2 linked regions of the Coturnix japonica genome follow. The protein of the gene in region 1 purifies or fractionates together with the protein of each later gene. This does not show direct contact. Links are inferred from orthologs where the notes say so. Each region holds a gene or a part of one and is shown on either strand. Other genes may lie near its edges.

Region 1 (8,037 bases):
ACTGAAGAGCCAATGGACACTTCTGCTGCGGTTACCCATTCTGAGCACTTCCAGACGTTGCTTGATGCTGGTTTACCACAGAAAGTTGCTGAAAAACTAGACGAAATTTACGTGGCAGGTAAGCAGTGAAACTTGCCAAACCTTCCTAGGTCCTAGAATATTTCACTGGCTTCTGCTGCTGTCTTTGGGCTATCTGAGCAACTTCATGTGGTTTTTAGAAGTACAAGAACTACAGTCTCAACAAAATACATGGTGTTTTTTTGTGCTTGTTTTCTTGTTTGTTTTTATCATTCAGTGTTTTAGTTTATCATGATGTTTCCCAGAGAGCAGTCTGGGCCAAGCTGCTTGGGGTGGGTGGTGGGAAAGAGAAGTATGAGTATAAGCATAGTATTACCTGGGATAGGCAACAGCTGACACTTAGAAGGAGCAGGTGATATGGGCTTTGTGAGCTTTTAGTGTAGTTGTAGATAATGTCAAGTCACTGAAGCCTTGGTAGACATCATCTGATGTAAATGATGCTTTGTGGCATGGTACTGGAGCTCATAGATTGTCATTGTATTCTGCCTGTCAGGCATGGCAGTAGCATAGTAAAGCTTGATTTTGGTGCTGTAGTTGCTTTGAGTGCTGCAGTTTGCAGTCTCCTCCCAGTCATCACAGTACGTTGCTCATCAAGCCAAGTCAGTTTTTGATAGATCCTTTAGAGTTCAACTTAAGGATACCAAAACTAAACCTGCCCCGCGTGACATGAGAATTCAAATACATGAATGCATTAACTCTTAGTCTAATTCTTATGATTTTAATACTTCTGGATGAAAGTAAGCAAAGTGCACTTAAATTTTAACTTAGGGAACTGAGTGATTTCTTAGTTATAGCAACTTACTTTTAGCCAGCAATTGGTTTAGGGGACACTGAAGTATATTAGGTGTGTTAAATATGATGAAACAGAGATTGCTACCCAAATGTAATTAGTAATTTTTTTTTTTCTTTTCTCTAGGGCTAGTTGCACATAGTGATCTAGATGAAAGAGCAATTGATGCTCTTAGGGAATTTAATGAAGAAGGAGCCCTCTCTGTATTACAGCAGTTTAAAGACAGTGATCTCTCACATGTTCAGGTAACATGAAGCAATTCGGAATATAATTGGTGAGGGATAAACTGCTGGTAGACTGACAAAAGGTTTGATTAAACCTCTTCACTGAATCATGTGTCATATGTGAAATGTGCTCTGTGGAAGTTCAAGGAAAAATTAGGTTCTGGTTTGTAATGTTTGCAGAACTGAAGATTAATGCATCTCTTGCAGAACAAAAGTGCATTTTTATGTGGAGTCATGAAGACGTACAGGCAGAGGGAAAAACAGGGGACCAAGGTGGCAGATTCTAGCAAAGGACCAGATGAGGCAAAAATTAAGGTATGTGACTAAAAGATTAAAGCTACAAAGACTGTGTTGTTGTTTTTTCAAAGTGATTGTGATACAGATCTTAAGTTTTAAGGAACCGTGCTTGCCTAGGAAGGGATCTTAGAGATTATTTTATGATATGGGGGGTTGGACTCGATGATCTCTAGAGGTCACTTCCAACCCCTACAATTCTGTGATTCTGTGTTATTTACAAGCTTTCATTTATGCTTTCATCTTAGGTTGTGTCTTTAAGAGAACTTAATCTGTCTGTTACTAGAACTGAATGTGTATTGAAACATGGAAAGCATTTGGCAGTTTGGTTTACATTCTGTGTATTGGCTTGTTGGGACAGTCAGACAGCTTCACAGTTAGAAGTTGTAGGAAACTTGTCAGCATAGCTATTTGAGTTCCAAGTACATGACTTTAGCTACTGGCTTGGTTTGCTTCTCTCAGTTCAGAGAGAAACTCCCCAACAGGGAGATAGTATGAGTCAAAATTGTCTTAAAGAATACTTTACTTCTTCGCATGAGTCTTCTGATACCAAGAAACACTTGTAACAGGAGTTAGGTGTACTACAGTTTACATTAGATACTGTGATAAGCAACTTTACCAAATGGAAAGGACAAAGAAGTATGTTTAGTTGAAATCTTGGAAAGTTGAGGCAGTCTTTTGTCTTTAACTTTATATGAATAAAATGGAAAATCCATGTGATGCAGATTAAAAATAAGTATGTGGATTGTAAAACTGGCATGTCCCTTTTTCTCCTGATTTTGATTTTTTTATAATAATTTATTATTTTATAATAATAATTTATTATAATAATAATTAAACAGCTGGTATACGGTTCTTGTCATTGCCACATAAAGCATCAATAATATGTATTAAATAAAGTATCGTAGCTGTTATTGCTGATGGCTCCACCATTTAAAATTGCTCTGCAATTTTCCAGTTGTGAAATCAGCTTTTGATTGAGTTGTTAAGCGAGCAGTTCCTTTGCCTGCAGAGTTGGTTCGTCTTTGTACAAAGTTATTAAGAAAAGCCACTTTTCTGAGGAGCTGCTGTGGATATCAGCGTTCTGAACTTCAGTTTATAGTTGGTAACGAATTTGTAAGTGTGTGCAGTGATGGTAGCAAAGCTCAGTTGTGCTGCACTGCTGTATTTTCCCACAAGGAATTGAAGGGAGGAGGAGGGACAGCATTGCAGGAGGAAGGAAGTTTTATTACCACTTGAGTGGTGGGATACCTGAAGCAGAAAGAGCACTGTTAGTGTTCCAGGAGTTGTAAGCTGTTGAACATGTGTTCTTTAGCTTCACACTTATGAGTAATCTCATTAAGTGAAGGGAACTTCTCTGCATAAACGTTTGCAGGATTGGGCATGCCAAAACAAGAAGTGGCTCGGGCTGCTAAGATCTTCCTAATTAAAGGGAAGCTCAGTGTTCTAATGCTTGGCCTCCTTTTTTTTTTTTTTTTTTTTTTTTTTTTTGCATGTATGTGTATGAAAATGAAGGAATTGGGGAAAACTTCATGTGAACCTCCTCATTTTCTACTGTTTCTTTTCATGGCAATTTGAGTAATTGTTCTGCAAGTTACTTACTTGTTGAAGCACCAGGCTTGTTCGCCTGTGAGAATTTCAAAGCAGTACTGTTAAACATGAATTTTAAGCATGTCTGTTGTCTGTGAATGAAGTACATCTCAGTCAGCCAAATTTCCATGTGATTTTAAAATCACAGAATCACAGAATTGTAGGGGTTGGAAGGGACCTCTAGAGATCATCGAGTCCAACCCCCCTGCCAAAGTAGGCTCCCTACACATCACACAGGTAGGCATCCAGGCAGGTCTTGAACATCTCCAGAGAAGGAGACTCCACCACCTCCCTGGGCAGCCTGTTCCAGTGCTCCGTCACCCTCACTGTAAAGAAGTTCTTGTGCACATTCATGCGGAACTTCCTATGCTGTACTTTCATCCCATTACCCCTAGTCCTGTCCCCACGCGCTACTGAAAAGAGACCAAAATGTTGGGTTTTCTACTTGCAGGCACTCTTGGAAAGAACCGGCTACACTCTTGATGTAACTACAGGACAGAGAAAATATGGGGGCCCTCCTCCAGATACTGTGTATTCAGGACAGCAGCCTTCTGTTGGAACAGAGGTAAGGAGGAGATAACTTATGTAGGTGCATTTGTATTGCTTGGGTGTATTTTTTCCTTATAAGCAACACTCTGTGTCTGTTGTAGATATTTGTAGGTAAGATTCCAAGAGATTTGTTTGAAGATGAACTTGTTCCGTTATTTGAGAAAGCCGGACCTATATGGGATCTCCGCTTGATGATGGATCCATTAACTGGTCTAAATAGAGGATATGCTTTTGTCACATTTTGTACTAAAGAAGCAGCTCAGGAGGCTGTTAAGCTGGTAAGTTTCTTCTTCTGCCTTTTGTTTCTTTTCCTTTTTGGTAAGAACATTGTGGCTTTTAAGCAGTTGTCCTTATGCTTATGTCTGAATGCTTAAAATTAAGCTGTGTCATTGTTATATCATTTCACAAATGTCCACTTGGCATTTAAAAGTATTTCTGTGTTATCGTGAATGTAAATCTTTGCTGGACAGGTGTTAGGCACAGGATAACGAATAGAAAAAAAGCAAGGAAATTTGGTCCAGTTCGGTGTGCCTTTACTATATACCAGAGCTGTGTTAGCTGTGGTGACTTCTGAGCTGTCACGGTTTGGATGAGTTCTGAGGAAAGCGCTGATTGAGTTGCTGCAGTGCAAAGGAGTTGGTCGGGCTTTGTATGATTTCTGCTTTGCTGATGTACCAGCAGAGGGCACCACGGGAGAAAAATGTGTCTAAACTCACACAATTTCATGAGATACTTGAGGGGAGAGAGAATCACTTTTAAGGCTGTTTAAACAGACTGGAAAATGACAGAAAAGCCACGGGTTAAAAAGTTTACACTGTTTAGACAGAGATGTGAGGTATTATAATAGACAACTCCTTATGAGCAAGCTTGTTTTTCTTGGGGGTTGGCCTCTTCTCTCGTGTAATCGGTGATAGAACTAGAGGGAATGGTTTTAAGCTGCGTCAGGGGAGATTCAGGCTGGACATTAGGAAGTATTACTTCTCGGAAAGGGTAGTCAGGCATTGGAATGCACTGCCCAGGGAGGTGGTGGAGTCACCGACCATGGGAGTGTTCAAGAAACGTCTGGATGTTGTGTTGATGAATATGATTTAGCTGGGAAGTATTGGTGATGGTTGGACTAGATGATCTTCTAGGTCTTTTCCAACCTTGATAATTCTGTGATTCTTAAAGACCCCCTCCCCCTTTGTCTTTCTAGTTAAGTGAGATGTGAATCTTTTTGAGCTAGTTGCTTCTGCGTTGACGTGGCTGAGGTGATCCTAAGAGTGTGAACCCTGCTCGTTCTGAGTTACACTGATGCTGTATAAACCCAGTAGGGTTAAAATCTCTCTTCTTTAATAGGGTGCACCTTAGACAATGAAGTTACCTTGTTGGCACGTTAATAATAAAAACCAATTGATAGAGACAAATAAGGCTGAAGATAGGACTGTCTCCCAAAAAGTATCGAAGTGTCTTAAAAACAAAAACATGGAAGTATTAAAAAAAAAAAAAAAAAGAGGTATCTGCTGTTTAACTTTTTAAACAAGAATGTTCAGTATGCCTGTGCACAATCCAAATACACTTGGGAAAACTCAGCTGTTTGCATGTACCTCTTTGTACTTTCATTGTCAGCTCAGCTATTTATAATGTGTGTAAACTCTTCAGAGTTGTGCACATGACTTACCAAAAGAGTGGAACAAATCAAATACGTTACCAGAGGTCCTTACTAATCGAAGAGTTTTTTTCCTCAGCTGCATTTTGCTTAAATGCAGCATATTTCTTTGAGGGTCTGAGAAGTCATTTGTTTCCCTAGAAGTAACATGTCAGATGCCTGACCTCAGTCTTGTACTCAGTGATACAGGGGAGGAAGGTAATTAATGCCTCGGTACACTTGATCTTTGATAAAGCAGTTACTTGTCATTCAGTTAGATACCTATTGAGGGTAATAGTTGAAAAGTGTTAGGAATGATAGCGCAGATTTTCAGTCTTCATGCTAATTCTCTCTGACAAATTCTACAAGATGAGGTTTAGCTTTTGAGTGGTCTTGACCATAGCAGGCTGGCTGGCTTGTTGTATTAGAAGTTGCTCAAGTTGTCAAGGAGTGACTTGCATGAGAATGCAAGTCGACAGGCTGAGGGAGTTGGGTTTGTTCAGCCTAGAGAAGAGAAGGCTGTGGGGTGACCTCATTGCAGCCTTTCAATACCTGAAGGGAACCTACACCCAGGAGGGGAGTAAACTCTTTGAAAGGGCTGACAATAGCAGGACAGGGGGAAATGGATTTAAGTTGAAAGAGGGAAGATTTAGGTTGGATGTTAGGGGGAAGTTCTTCACTAGGAGAGTGGTGAGGCCCTGGAACAGGCTGCCCAGGGAGGTTGTGGATGCCCCGTCCTTGGAGGTGTTCAAGGCCAGGTTGGACGGGGCCCTGGGCAACCTGATCTAGTAAATATGTATGTTTGGTGACCCTGCCAGGCAGGGGGGTTGGAACTACATGATCCTTGAGGTCCCTTCCAACCTGGGTCGTTCTGTGATTCTGTGAGAATCAGCAAAATATGCCTGTGGAACTCTGCTGAAAATAGTGGATTGTTTGAAATAACTTTGATATGCTTCAGACAAGCAGTGGAATGGTGCTGTGGCTTGATACCAAGGAGACCTAAAGATATGAACAGTAGTTAATTGTATGTCTGATACTTCATCCAGTGTGTAGTCCACCATCTCTGCCCTGTTGCCAGCTGCTTAAGTGGCATCTCAAGTGTTGTTCACTCAAGCACCACCTGTCAGAAGTTGGGTGTGACTTCTTTCAGGCATCTCTTCTCTATCGGAGTGTCTGGTTTGCCTTCTGATTCTGTACTCTGAGCATTGTGTTTTATACACACACACACTCAGTTCTTCCTGCTGTTTCATATGAAGTTGTTAGTTTTTAGTTTTGGAAGTTATTTTGGAAGGATTACTATTACTGTGGGCATGCACAGAATCACAGAATTGTAGGGGTTGGAAGGGACCTCTAGAGATCGTCCAGTTCAACCCCCCTGCCAAAGCAGGCTCCCTACACCACGTCACACAGGTAGGCGTCCAGGCGGGTCTTGAATATCTCCAGAGAAGGAGACTCCACCACCTCCCTGGGCAGCCTGTTCCAGTGCTCTGTCAAAATAAGGCACGGAAATAAGAACCAGGGGGTTAAGCTTGTGGGAGATTATATACCTTATGCTGCTATAATTTGAAGTATTTTTTGACCACAGCAAATAGAAGTTTGATCAAAGTACAGGTACAGGTGAATTATGCAAGCATTCCCCTGAAGCAGTTTGCCAGCGAGGCCCAGCAGTGCAGCTTGTTCACCACTAGAAATAAACCTTGGGTGAAAGTGAATGAAATGGCGAACCAGATTGTAACCTTACTTCACCCGTCTGTGAATAGGTTCTTGAAGAACTCAGCAAAGTAAGAATGCTCTGTAGTGTCTACAGGATACTAATGTCTCTGTTGGCTTTGGGCGTGGATTCAGTGGTGACAGGAGAGAAAAGCGTTATGCTGCCCTTGCTAATCTTGTGGCCTGACTGTTGTGGCACTTAATCCAGAATTGGGCCTGTGTGTGCCACCACAGAATCACAGAATGACCCGGGTTGGAAGGGACCTCAAGGATCATGTAGTTCCAACCCCCCTGCCTGGCAGGGCCACCAAACATACACATTTACTAGATCAGGTTGCCCAGGGCCCCGTCCAACCTGGTCTTGAACACCTCCAAGGACGGGGCATCCACAACCACCCTGGGCAGCCTGTTCCAGGGCCTAACCACTCTCCTAGTAAAGAACTTCCCCCTAACATCCAACCTAAATCTTCCCTCATTTAACTTAAAACCATTTCCCCATTTCCTGCCCCGTGCCTTATCTAAGTTTGCTAACTATTTACCTAAAAAGCACCAGCTGTATATTTAGGAGCACCTAATTGCAGGCTGCCTTGTCAGAAGTAGGAGAAAGATGTGATAGAAAATAGTAGTTAATATATTGTGGCGTGAAAAACTAATGTCAGTGTGCAAATGCAGTGTGTTAGGATAATTAAGAGGTGTTCTTATTACAAGGTGTGGGAGAGTCATTTGGATTATATGTGGAGTCAGACTTTAGTCTTAGATTTTAAAAGGGACATCAAGATAATGTACTGGGTAAAACTGACTTGTATATTCCATTGAAGAAGCATCTTTTTTGTGTCTTGTATCCAGATGCATAAGGGACTTGCTAGTCCAACTAGTTGGAAATATGCCGTTGAAAATCCTTCCTGCATCTAGAGTTCTTTCAGCTCACTTCTACAGTTGTATAGCTTTGACAGTTCTCAGTTACACAGGGTTTTTTGGTTTTTTTTCCTACATGTATGTCTAAATAATTGTACATCTTCACCCTCATTTTTAGTGCATTGAACAGGAAGGGGGTGTGGAAGACTTTGCATATGTGGGAAAGTGTGCCACCAGGCACAGAACCACTTGCTAGATTAAATAGCTGGGTTGAATTTTGAAATGCTACTCTACTGCTTGTCAATAAAACACTGACCACA
Region 2 (8,607 bases), on another chromosome or scaffold:
TAAGGCAGAAAAAAGGAAACAACTTATTAAACTTACATACTAAAAATGGAGGTAAGGATGGAGGACGAGAGAAGATAGGGCCCATTTTATCTCTGCATACAATCTACCCCTACTACAGTCAGATTACAGGAAAGGGAAATAGGGCAGCTAACATCTCAACCAACACAGGAATCTCAGCACTTCCCGGATGCTCACTTCCAAATGTCTGTATTTGCATATGGAGATACTAATAGAAAAGACCCCTTGTGTGCTGAAGTGAGAATGCACATGAGTGCCCTGCAGCAGGACAAGCTGTGGCCCACCCTCCGACCCAGCAGCAAGCAGACGGGACAGGAACTTTGCTCCTGCAGCACCAGCAAGGACTGTGAAGTTCTGAGGCAGCAGCAACTTGATGACGTGCAGCGGGGTTAGAGCGGAGGAAAACCAAGAAAAGCGGGGATAGAGCGGAGGAAAACCAAGAAAAGCGGGGTTAGAGCGGAGGAAAACCAAGAAAAGCGGGGTTAGAGAGGAGGAGAAACAATAAGGGAAATCAGATCAAACCAGTATTTCTCATGGATAATAATACATGGATCTGTTACCTCCAGGCACACGTACCCACCAAGGTTACCCTGGATAGCCCATTCCACTGCCTACATCCACATTCATCTCATGGTGGGACCTGAGTTCGTTAGCAGACGAACAAAGACTGAAATGATAACATTCATCTCCATGTTCTTGCCCTGACATGGTTATTCATTAGGAGTTCTTCCTAACGATTGTTCAGTTCCTTCCTACTAGGGAGCCACTCCTAATTCTCTTCTATTCGGGTTGTTTAATGAGTCACTGACTTTAATAATAATTGTTATTAACCCTTCCCTTACACCGCTAGCAGACCGCAATGTGTTGTGCTGAGTAAAAAGCTCCTCGGTGCCTTTCCTGTGTTACGCCATTTTCTCACACGCCGACTGATTCCTGCAGGCTTTCTGCTGCTGGTTGCTGAAAAAAAATACCTTGTTTGTCTTCATGCCTTCAGTTAATTGCTTTTTAAAATCTTATTCTACCTGCTTTCCTGTGTAATTTTGCTCTCCGTAAATTATACTGCTTTATCATTGCCTTCTTGTCCAGCCAAATATGTACTTAGGTAAAAAACAGATATTTGTGTCAAACAACTTCTTCAAGCTCTGTATTCCCCTGCTGGTTTACCTCCCTCTTCTCTTTTCTCCCAAGGAGGGAGGGCTGCATCCATTTACACACAGTGAGCCTGCAGCACTCAGTAACACTGTGCCCATCTAATGCCATGGGAAGCATCACAGAGTTAAGAGTTCAGGTGCTTTGGACTAGTTTTCCTTTTTCCCAAACAAACAAAGAATAAACACCGAAGTTAACTTAAGAAATGTTTTATTTCTATGCAACTTGTCATTCCTAAGAGCACCAAACCTAAATATCCTGTGACATAAGTACCCACATGTTGATTTGTCCTTCAATCGGCAGCGACTGCTTGTTTCTTAAGGATAATTTGAGCACGGGTTGTCCTCTGTGTGGATCTCTTAAATGCCTGTTTCAAAGAGCACAACATGGTTAAAGATCTGATTCTGAATAGTGTATTGAAGGAGCACGTAACTGTCCCTTGGCTGTCTGTGATCAAACCTTGTACTTCACACAGCCACAGCGTTGATTATGCGTAGGCATGTCTGAGCAGCTGCTTTCTATGCACCTCATGCATGGCAGCACTTGCTCTTCTGACCAAGTTTTGGGCAGTTTTGGGGTAGTTAGAATTGTTAGAATCTTCTGTCCTCACATTAGCAGTGCTGCCGTATTTTGAATGCTTCTTAGAACATTCTATGTGCTTTATTGTTTAGATGCTATCATAACGTGATTGTTTACTTCGGGAACCACGCTCAGACCTTTACAAAAATGGAATTCTACTAAGAAGCGTATTTCCCATTGACTACTTCCCTGTCCTCAGGTTGGGGCATTCACCTCAGGTGCCAATCCAACCTGAACCAACTCTCCTAACGTGTTTTAATTTGACTGATAAAATATGGGTGTGAATGGACAGCACACACACTCCATGTGTTCCTGACACTCAGCACACAGTGCTTGGGCACCGTGTTATTCCTCCGAGCAGCCAACTGCTGATGCACAACTCCGGGCCTTTTTCATACGATTCCATGCAACTACAGCCAGGTTACCCGGTGCTGCCGGCACTTTGCCGGGCCGAGTGGCGCCGTACGGCCCCGCACAGCACATCACAGCTCCGCTCGGGCTCCCACCTCCCTCCCCGATCCTCCGCCCCCGCGCAGCCCCCTCCCCTTCCCCGCCACCCGCTTCCGCCCGCTGCCCCTCGCTCCGGCGCATGCTTGGGTTATGCAACAGCGGCGGCGGGCGGGCTGCGCGGGCCGCGCCGCGCCGGGGCCGCAGGGCAGGGCAGGGCAACGAGCGGGGCCGTGAGGGCGGCGGACACCGAGACACCGAGCGGCGGCGTTGGGGGCTCGCTCCCCCCCCCCTTCCCCCACTTCAACCTCCGCTTCCCACCCCGCGCGGTGAGTGGCAGCGGCGGCCGCCGCCAAGTCCCGCCCGTTCCGCTCTCCGTGCTGCAGGCGGCGGCGGCGGCGGGTTGGCTTCCTGCGCTGTGCCGCTCCCCCCTCCCCCCCGGCAGTCGGAGCCGCAGCGGCAGCAGCCCGGATCCCCGAGCCATGGCTCTGTGAGAGCAGCCACATGGCGGCCGCGGCAGCCATGAGCCCCCCCCTGATCCATACGACCCCCCGCTGAACGGCCGCCCGCAGCCTCCAGCGCCCGCCCGGCCCCGCCGCTCCCACCGCCCGCCCGCAACTCCCGGCCCGAGCCCGGACCGCGCCGCCACCACCGCCACAGCCACAGCCGCCTCCGCCGCCGCCGCCGCGGGGCCTCCGCTCGCCCGCCCGCCGCCGCTCGCCCGCCCGCCGCCGCCCGGTGCTCACCATGGGAGTGCAGGGCTTCCAGGACTACATCGAGAAGCACTGCCCCAGCGCCGTGGTGCCCGTCGAGCTGCAGAAGCTGGCGCGGGGCAGCTTGGTGGGGGGGGGGCGGCAGCGGCCCCCGCAGACCCCGCTGCGCCTCCTCATCGATGCCGACAACTGCCTGCACCGGCTGTACGGCGGCTTCTACACGGACTGGGTGAGCGGCGGGCAGTGGAACCACATGCTGGGCTACCTGGCGGCCCTGGCTAAGGCCTGCTTCAACGGCAACATCGAGCTCTTCGTCTTTTTTAACGGCGCCCTGGAGAAGGCCCGGCTGCACGAGTGGGTGAAGCGCCAGGGCAACGAGCGCCAGACGGCGCAGCAGATCGTCAGCCACGTCCAGAACAAGGGCACCCCGCCGCCCAAGGTCTGGTTCCTGCCGCCCGTCTGCATGGCGCACTGCATCCGCCTGGCCCTCATCCGCTTCCACATCAAGGTGAGCCCCGGACCCGCTCCGAGCGGTGCCGGGCGGGGCGGGTTGCGGGGCCGCGTTAAGATGGCAGCGGGGCCTGCCCTGTGCCTGCCCGGCCGTCGGGGCACCGCAAGATGTCGGCCCGCGGGGGCGGCCTCGATCCGCGGGGATCCACCGAGCGAACGCTGCGGGGCCTCTCCGAGACCGGGCCCCGTGCCACCATGTTCTTTAGGGGCCGGACTCGGCGTGCTCAAAATGTCCCTCCTCAACCCGAGGAGTTGGGAGGGAAAGAAAAGCGGCGGCGCGCGGCTCTGCAACAAGTCCCGGCCGGGCCGGCGCGCTCCAACTTGCGGCGGGCGGTGCCTCGGAGCTCCGGGCCCGGAGCGGGTGCGGCCTTGCTGTGCCCCGTGGAGCCCCGCTGGGCCCGGAGGCCGCGGCCTCGTTTCCTCGCCTGTCCGCAGCTGTGGCTGTAGAAGCGCTGCTGAGAATCGGAGGCGATTTGGAAGCGGCTCCCGGCCCACGCGTTTTCTTGTAGAGGGGAAATAGTCGAGTTCACCGACTCGCAAAGTTATAGCGTGCAGTAAGGGTGGTAACCTCGCTCTGGTTGTGGGTGCATCATCAATCTCAGCTTGTTGTGGAGATCCTTAGTGAAAGCGGCCTTTGGGTAACATTAAAATGCACGCTAAAATCTAAATGTTACCGCAGTACTACAATAAATAGCATGCAATACAAAACCGCTGTTCTAATGGTGATAGGAATTGGATGTTTGGATACGTTGGACTCGCTCTGACATAGGCAGCATTAAACACCGGTTCCTTGATGCTGAAGTGCTGCTCTTGTCAGCGGTGTCACCTGTAGCACCGTGTTTGCTCTCAGGCTTAGCGGCAGCATTAGCTGCTTTGCCGTTTTGTGGTAATAGGCCTTGTTGCTAATCTCCACAAACAGTTTTAGGATGTGTAGCGCTGGGGCCTCTTGTATAATCCTCATATAAAAATGGAAGGGAGTTGAGTTTTGCTGGGTGGAGGGTGGTGGTGTTTGTGTGATGGGAGCCAGCCGCGTGGGGCCGTTCCCTGCTGCTGTTGGCAGTGAGGCAGCACCGAGCTCCGTGCTGTGCTGTGCTGGCAGTGCACAGGGGATGGTGTGCTCTGCTTGATGCCTCTGTGCAGCTGTCAGGAAGCTGCTTGGGTTGGTTCACATCCAGGGTAGGTGCTGTATTTCATGGTTATGGTGGCAGATATAATATTCTCTGTTCGCTACTGTTGCTCTTGAATCATATTCTTGTTCTGTTTTTCTTCTCTTACGTAGTTTAATCTCTTTAGAAGTTGGCTTTATTGCACAGATCTTTCCCATTCTCCCCCCACTCCTTTCCTAGCAGCCCCTCTGGTGGGCACGCAGCAAACGGAGCTCGCACGTGTGATTGTTGTTTGCACATAGGGGTGACTTTATTTACACATGCACGAGGCAGATCCTGATTCCATCGCCAATCCCGGTGTTATCTCACTGTTTACTTCGAGCAGCTGAATTTGAGAGTACTGATTTACTTTAAATACAAAACTCATTTTCATACTTGCAGGAAACATTTGAGCTGTGCAGACCTGGGGACTGGCTGTGGGCTTAATCTCATTTGGTAATTAGAGAGGAGCGAGAAAGGAGCGTATTCCATCCAGAACAATTACAAATCACTCACAGATGGTTTCAGCAGGATGCAGAAATAACAGGTTCCTCCCAACGACAACACGTATCCTACGGGCTCCTGGCTGTGCTGTGACCTGGTGTTTGTCTGCTTGAGGGAGGGGCAGTAATTCCTACAAGGAGCTTTTTAACACGAAAGTATGTTTGGGAGAACTTAAATATTTCATCACCTCAGATCTTAACACCTCCCCTACTTTGTTGGGACTTTATACTCGGTGTCGGAACACACACGTGCCTGCTACTTGCAGACTTCTCCCTCTGGCCCAGCATCTTTGTTTGCATGAGATTTGGTCTCAAAACCCTCTCCAATTCCCTCCCTATTCCATCACAGACACGTGTGGCTGCCTGGTTGCATCTGCACCCTCTGGTCCCCTGCTCTTGAGAGCTGCCGGCCCTGGCTCTTGCCCTGCACAAGCTTTGTGCTACAGCTTGTCTGTTGTGGGACACACAGCTCTCCTCCTTTCAGCCACCCGGTGACTGGAGTGTGAGTTGTGGTGTTACATAAAGGGCTCCGGGCTGGGAGCGCTGTGTCAGAGTGCAGGAGGGGGTTGGGGAGCGTGGAAAGGAGGAAGCAGATCCGAGCAGGCTTCCTCTATGTGTGCTGTGTGCCCACAGCGCTGCCGGAGATCATAGCAGAAACTTGCTTGGTGTGCACTGGTGGTTCGTTGATGGTTGGTTTAATGCTCATGTGTAAGTTAAATTGATCTGTCCATAAAATAAAAGCAACAGGGAATGCCTTAATTTATACATAACAGGACCCTTCCCTGAGTTGGTCGTGTGGCACTTAGAGCTGTTCTTGCTGTGTGTGCATGGGACAGGGAGTTTACTGGGAGAATGAACACTCTTGATCCTCAAACACAATTAACTTTGAGAACCAGTGCAGCATAAGCATGTTTCCAAAGGAGTCGTGTTTTCATAGCACTTCAATAAGGAAGGTAGCATTGGGAATAGAGCTCCATGAGCTTCCCCTGGCAATGGGTGCAGCTCTGTGTGGGGTGCTGGGGACTTTGCTGAAAGGGAGAGGCTGCATGGGAGAAGCACAGAGTGAGCAGCTTGTGTGCAAGGCTGTGGTCAGTGCTGGGGTAGGAAGTGCCTTCAAGACGGCAGCAGGCAGTGGGTGGTCACACGAGGCTCAGTGTTGGGGTGAGCTGGTGGCTATAGGCCATGACTGCAAGCCAGCAGCAGCTCTGGCACTGGCACCACACAGTGCATTGGCTTTGGCACACAGTTTGTGCTTTCCTGTTCTGGTACAACTTACTGTGTTCCTTGTACCTGGTGAGACTGGGTTTGTGCAAGACTTGTGAACTGCTGGATGCTGTTTGTGTAGATGGTGAACGCATTGAATGGTCTCAGGGGGATTTGAAGGTGGAAAGAGGAAGCAGTTGGGCTTCTTATGGCACATGGGTGTTTGGAAGTTAAAGAAAATCACCCCTGCTGCCTTGGGGTGGTTTGTTATTGTTAGAACAGTGCCATAACACTTGCTAAGTGATCTTGTGCTGGGGGTGCTGTTGTGGGGCACTTTGGCATGGAACTGCTGAGTAGCCGCAGCCAGAGGGTCTGTTTCCCGGAGCTAACACAGGCTTTGCTGCAGTAATGTGTTTAGAGCTTGAGTGTTCCTGTTAATAAACAGTTACTTCAGATGGGCTGAGCAATGCATCATGCACTCCAATGTGTAGGCCTGCAGCACTTGGCGTTGTGCTCCCGAGCACTCCTTGCAGCCTGTCCGTATGTGCCGTGTCATCGGATTTTCTAATTACTGTAAATATTCTGCAGGTGTTTCAAACACACGTTTACAGTTTCAGAAAGACAAATTATATCATCATGCATGCTCTGAATCAGTGCTACCATTTTGCACTAATTACTCTGTCTTCCACTACAGGTTGCACAGAGCATTGAGGATCATCATCAAGAAGTAATTGCTTTCTGCAGAGAAAAAGGTTTCCATGGTTTGGTTGCGTATGACTCCGATTATGCATTGTGCAACATCCCATACTATTTCAGTGCCCATGCCCTAAAACTGAGCCGTAATGGGAAAAGTCTCACAACAAGCCAATATCTAATGCATGAAGTTGCCAAGCAACTGGACCTGAATCCAAATCGCTTTCCTATTTTTGCTGCTCTTTTAGGTAAGTAAAGTAATACAGGAACTCGATGCTACTAGTCAGACTTGTGATTTCATTTCCTATTAAATGTTTTAAAGCGTGTGTGTGATTTGACAAAGCATCTCGGCAAAACCATCCTTTTGTTTTAGTCATTCAGGCTGCTTTTGAGGTGGGATGCTATTTCTCTTCTTTATGTTTTATTTTCTAATGAGGTCGGGCAGATGCCACGATTTGTAGCGACCCTTGAGCGATGTGGACTGTGGCTGCATGGAAACAGGAGTAGGAAGTAAGAATTCTGCAGAGCTCCGCATTGCCAAAACGTTCTCAGTGTTGGGGGCGGAGAGGGGAATTGAGGACACTTGGTGGTTCTGCTGGTTCTGATCTGACACTGCGCGCGAGGTTTGATTTTAATCATACGAATTTCAGACTGGAAAAGTGAACTTCTGTGTCTTCAAAATAATGTATTTGAAGTGCAGGTTTTTGCATTGCGGGGACTTCTCTGCCTCCACATCAATATTGAATCAGAAATTCAGGAAAATTCAGTAGATCACCACAGAAAATCTGAATGATCAGCTTCCCTCTGCTCCACCAGCTGTGTTTGAATGGCTCTTTAACCCTCCTGCTTCTAAGGCTGAGTGGTGCAGGATTTTTAAGGACAGTAGATCAGACTAAGTTGAGTTTCACATCTTTGCTGAAATGGGGCAGTTTTAACACGCTGTATTCCCACTGCAGTGCTGTGGCATAGCTGTTGGTCAGGCGGTCTCAGGTGGAAGAATGAGTTAATGGCTAATAGAGTTCACTCAAACTAGTAAGATTTGTTTCTTAGAGTAGTCTGACTTCATTTGGGTTAATAAGCACGGAGTGTTGCTGATCGTGTCTAATTGAACAGAGAAGTCAAGCAAACTGGATTTTCATTTTGTTTTCTCACTGACTTTGTATTTTGGTGTGTGTGCATGATGCAACCATAAGTCTTAGCTGAAAGCTGCAGATGAGAGAGGCTTACGTGATACTGCCTTAGCATAATGATATTTTAATAGTCTTTAATATTAAATTGTTTCTAGTGCAGGCAGGTACTTTCTGCATGGAAGGGAAAGAAGGACCGTGTCTCAGAGCAGAAAGCTGCAGGTGTTTGGCTGGAGCTGGGTTTTCTTAGTATGATTTTTTTCCTATTGAGAGTGGTTACCTGCTTTCCTGGCTGTGGGGAAGAGTGGCAGATGATTGGCCGAGCTACAGCTTAAAAAGAAAAGCTGCGTAAATTACACTGCACACTACTATTGCTGGGCTTTGTTTTGGCTTCTATAAATAAGTTGTTGAATGCCAATTCAGTGAGTAAGAATTACTGTTTGAAAAACAGTTTCACAGTTGCAGATACGCTTTATAGAATTAATGTGAAGTATGTGTTAATGATGTTGTTTTAACTTGT

The links.
Region 2: the proteins of SYNCRIP (region 1) and FAM120A purify together in Homo sapiens (co-immunoprecipitation; 3 studies listed by BioGRID and IntAct, counting the BioPlex papers as one, with this or other methods). This does not show direct contact. The link is inferred for Coturnix japonica from reciprocal best matches to the Homo sapiens genes SYNCRIP and FAM120A.

The regions. Positions count from the first base shown.
Region 1 is NC_029518.1:70,017,261-70,025,297, forward strand, and holds part of SYNCRIP (heterogeneous nuclear ribonucleoprotein Q), read left to right. Parts: coding exon 1-118; intron 119-994; coding exon 995-1,113; intron 1,114-1,299; coding exon 1,300-1,407; intron 1,408-3,427; coding exon 3,428-3,541; intron 3,542-3,626; coding exon 3,627-3,803; intron 3,804-8,037. UniProt on the Homo sapiens protein: Heterogenous nuclear ribonucleoprotein (hnRNP) implicated in mRNA processing mechanisms. Component of the CRD-mediated complex that promotes MYC mRNA stability.
Region 2 is NC_029527.1:4,485,165-4,493,771, reverse strand, and holds the start of FAM120A (constitutive coactivator of PPAR-gamma-like protein 1), read left to right. Parts: upstream 1-2,883; 5' UTR 2,884-2,940; coding exon 2,941-3,414; intron 3,415-6,961; coding exon 6,962-7,208; intron 7,209-8,607. UniProt on the Homo sapiens protein: Component of the oxidative stress-induced survival signaling. May regulate the activation of SRC family protein kinases. May act as a scaffolding protein enabling SRC family protein kinases to phosphorylate and activate PI3-kinase.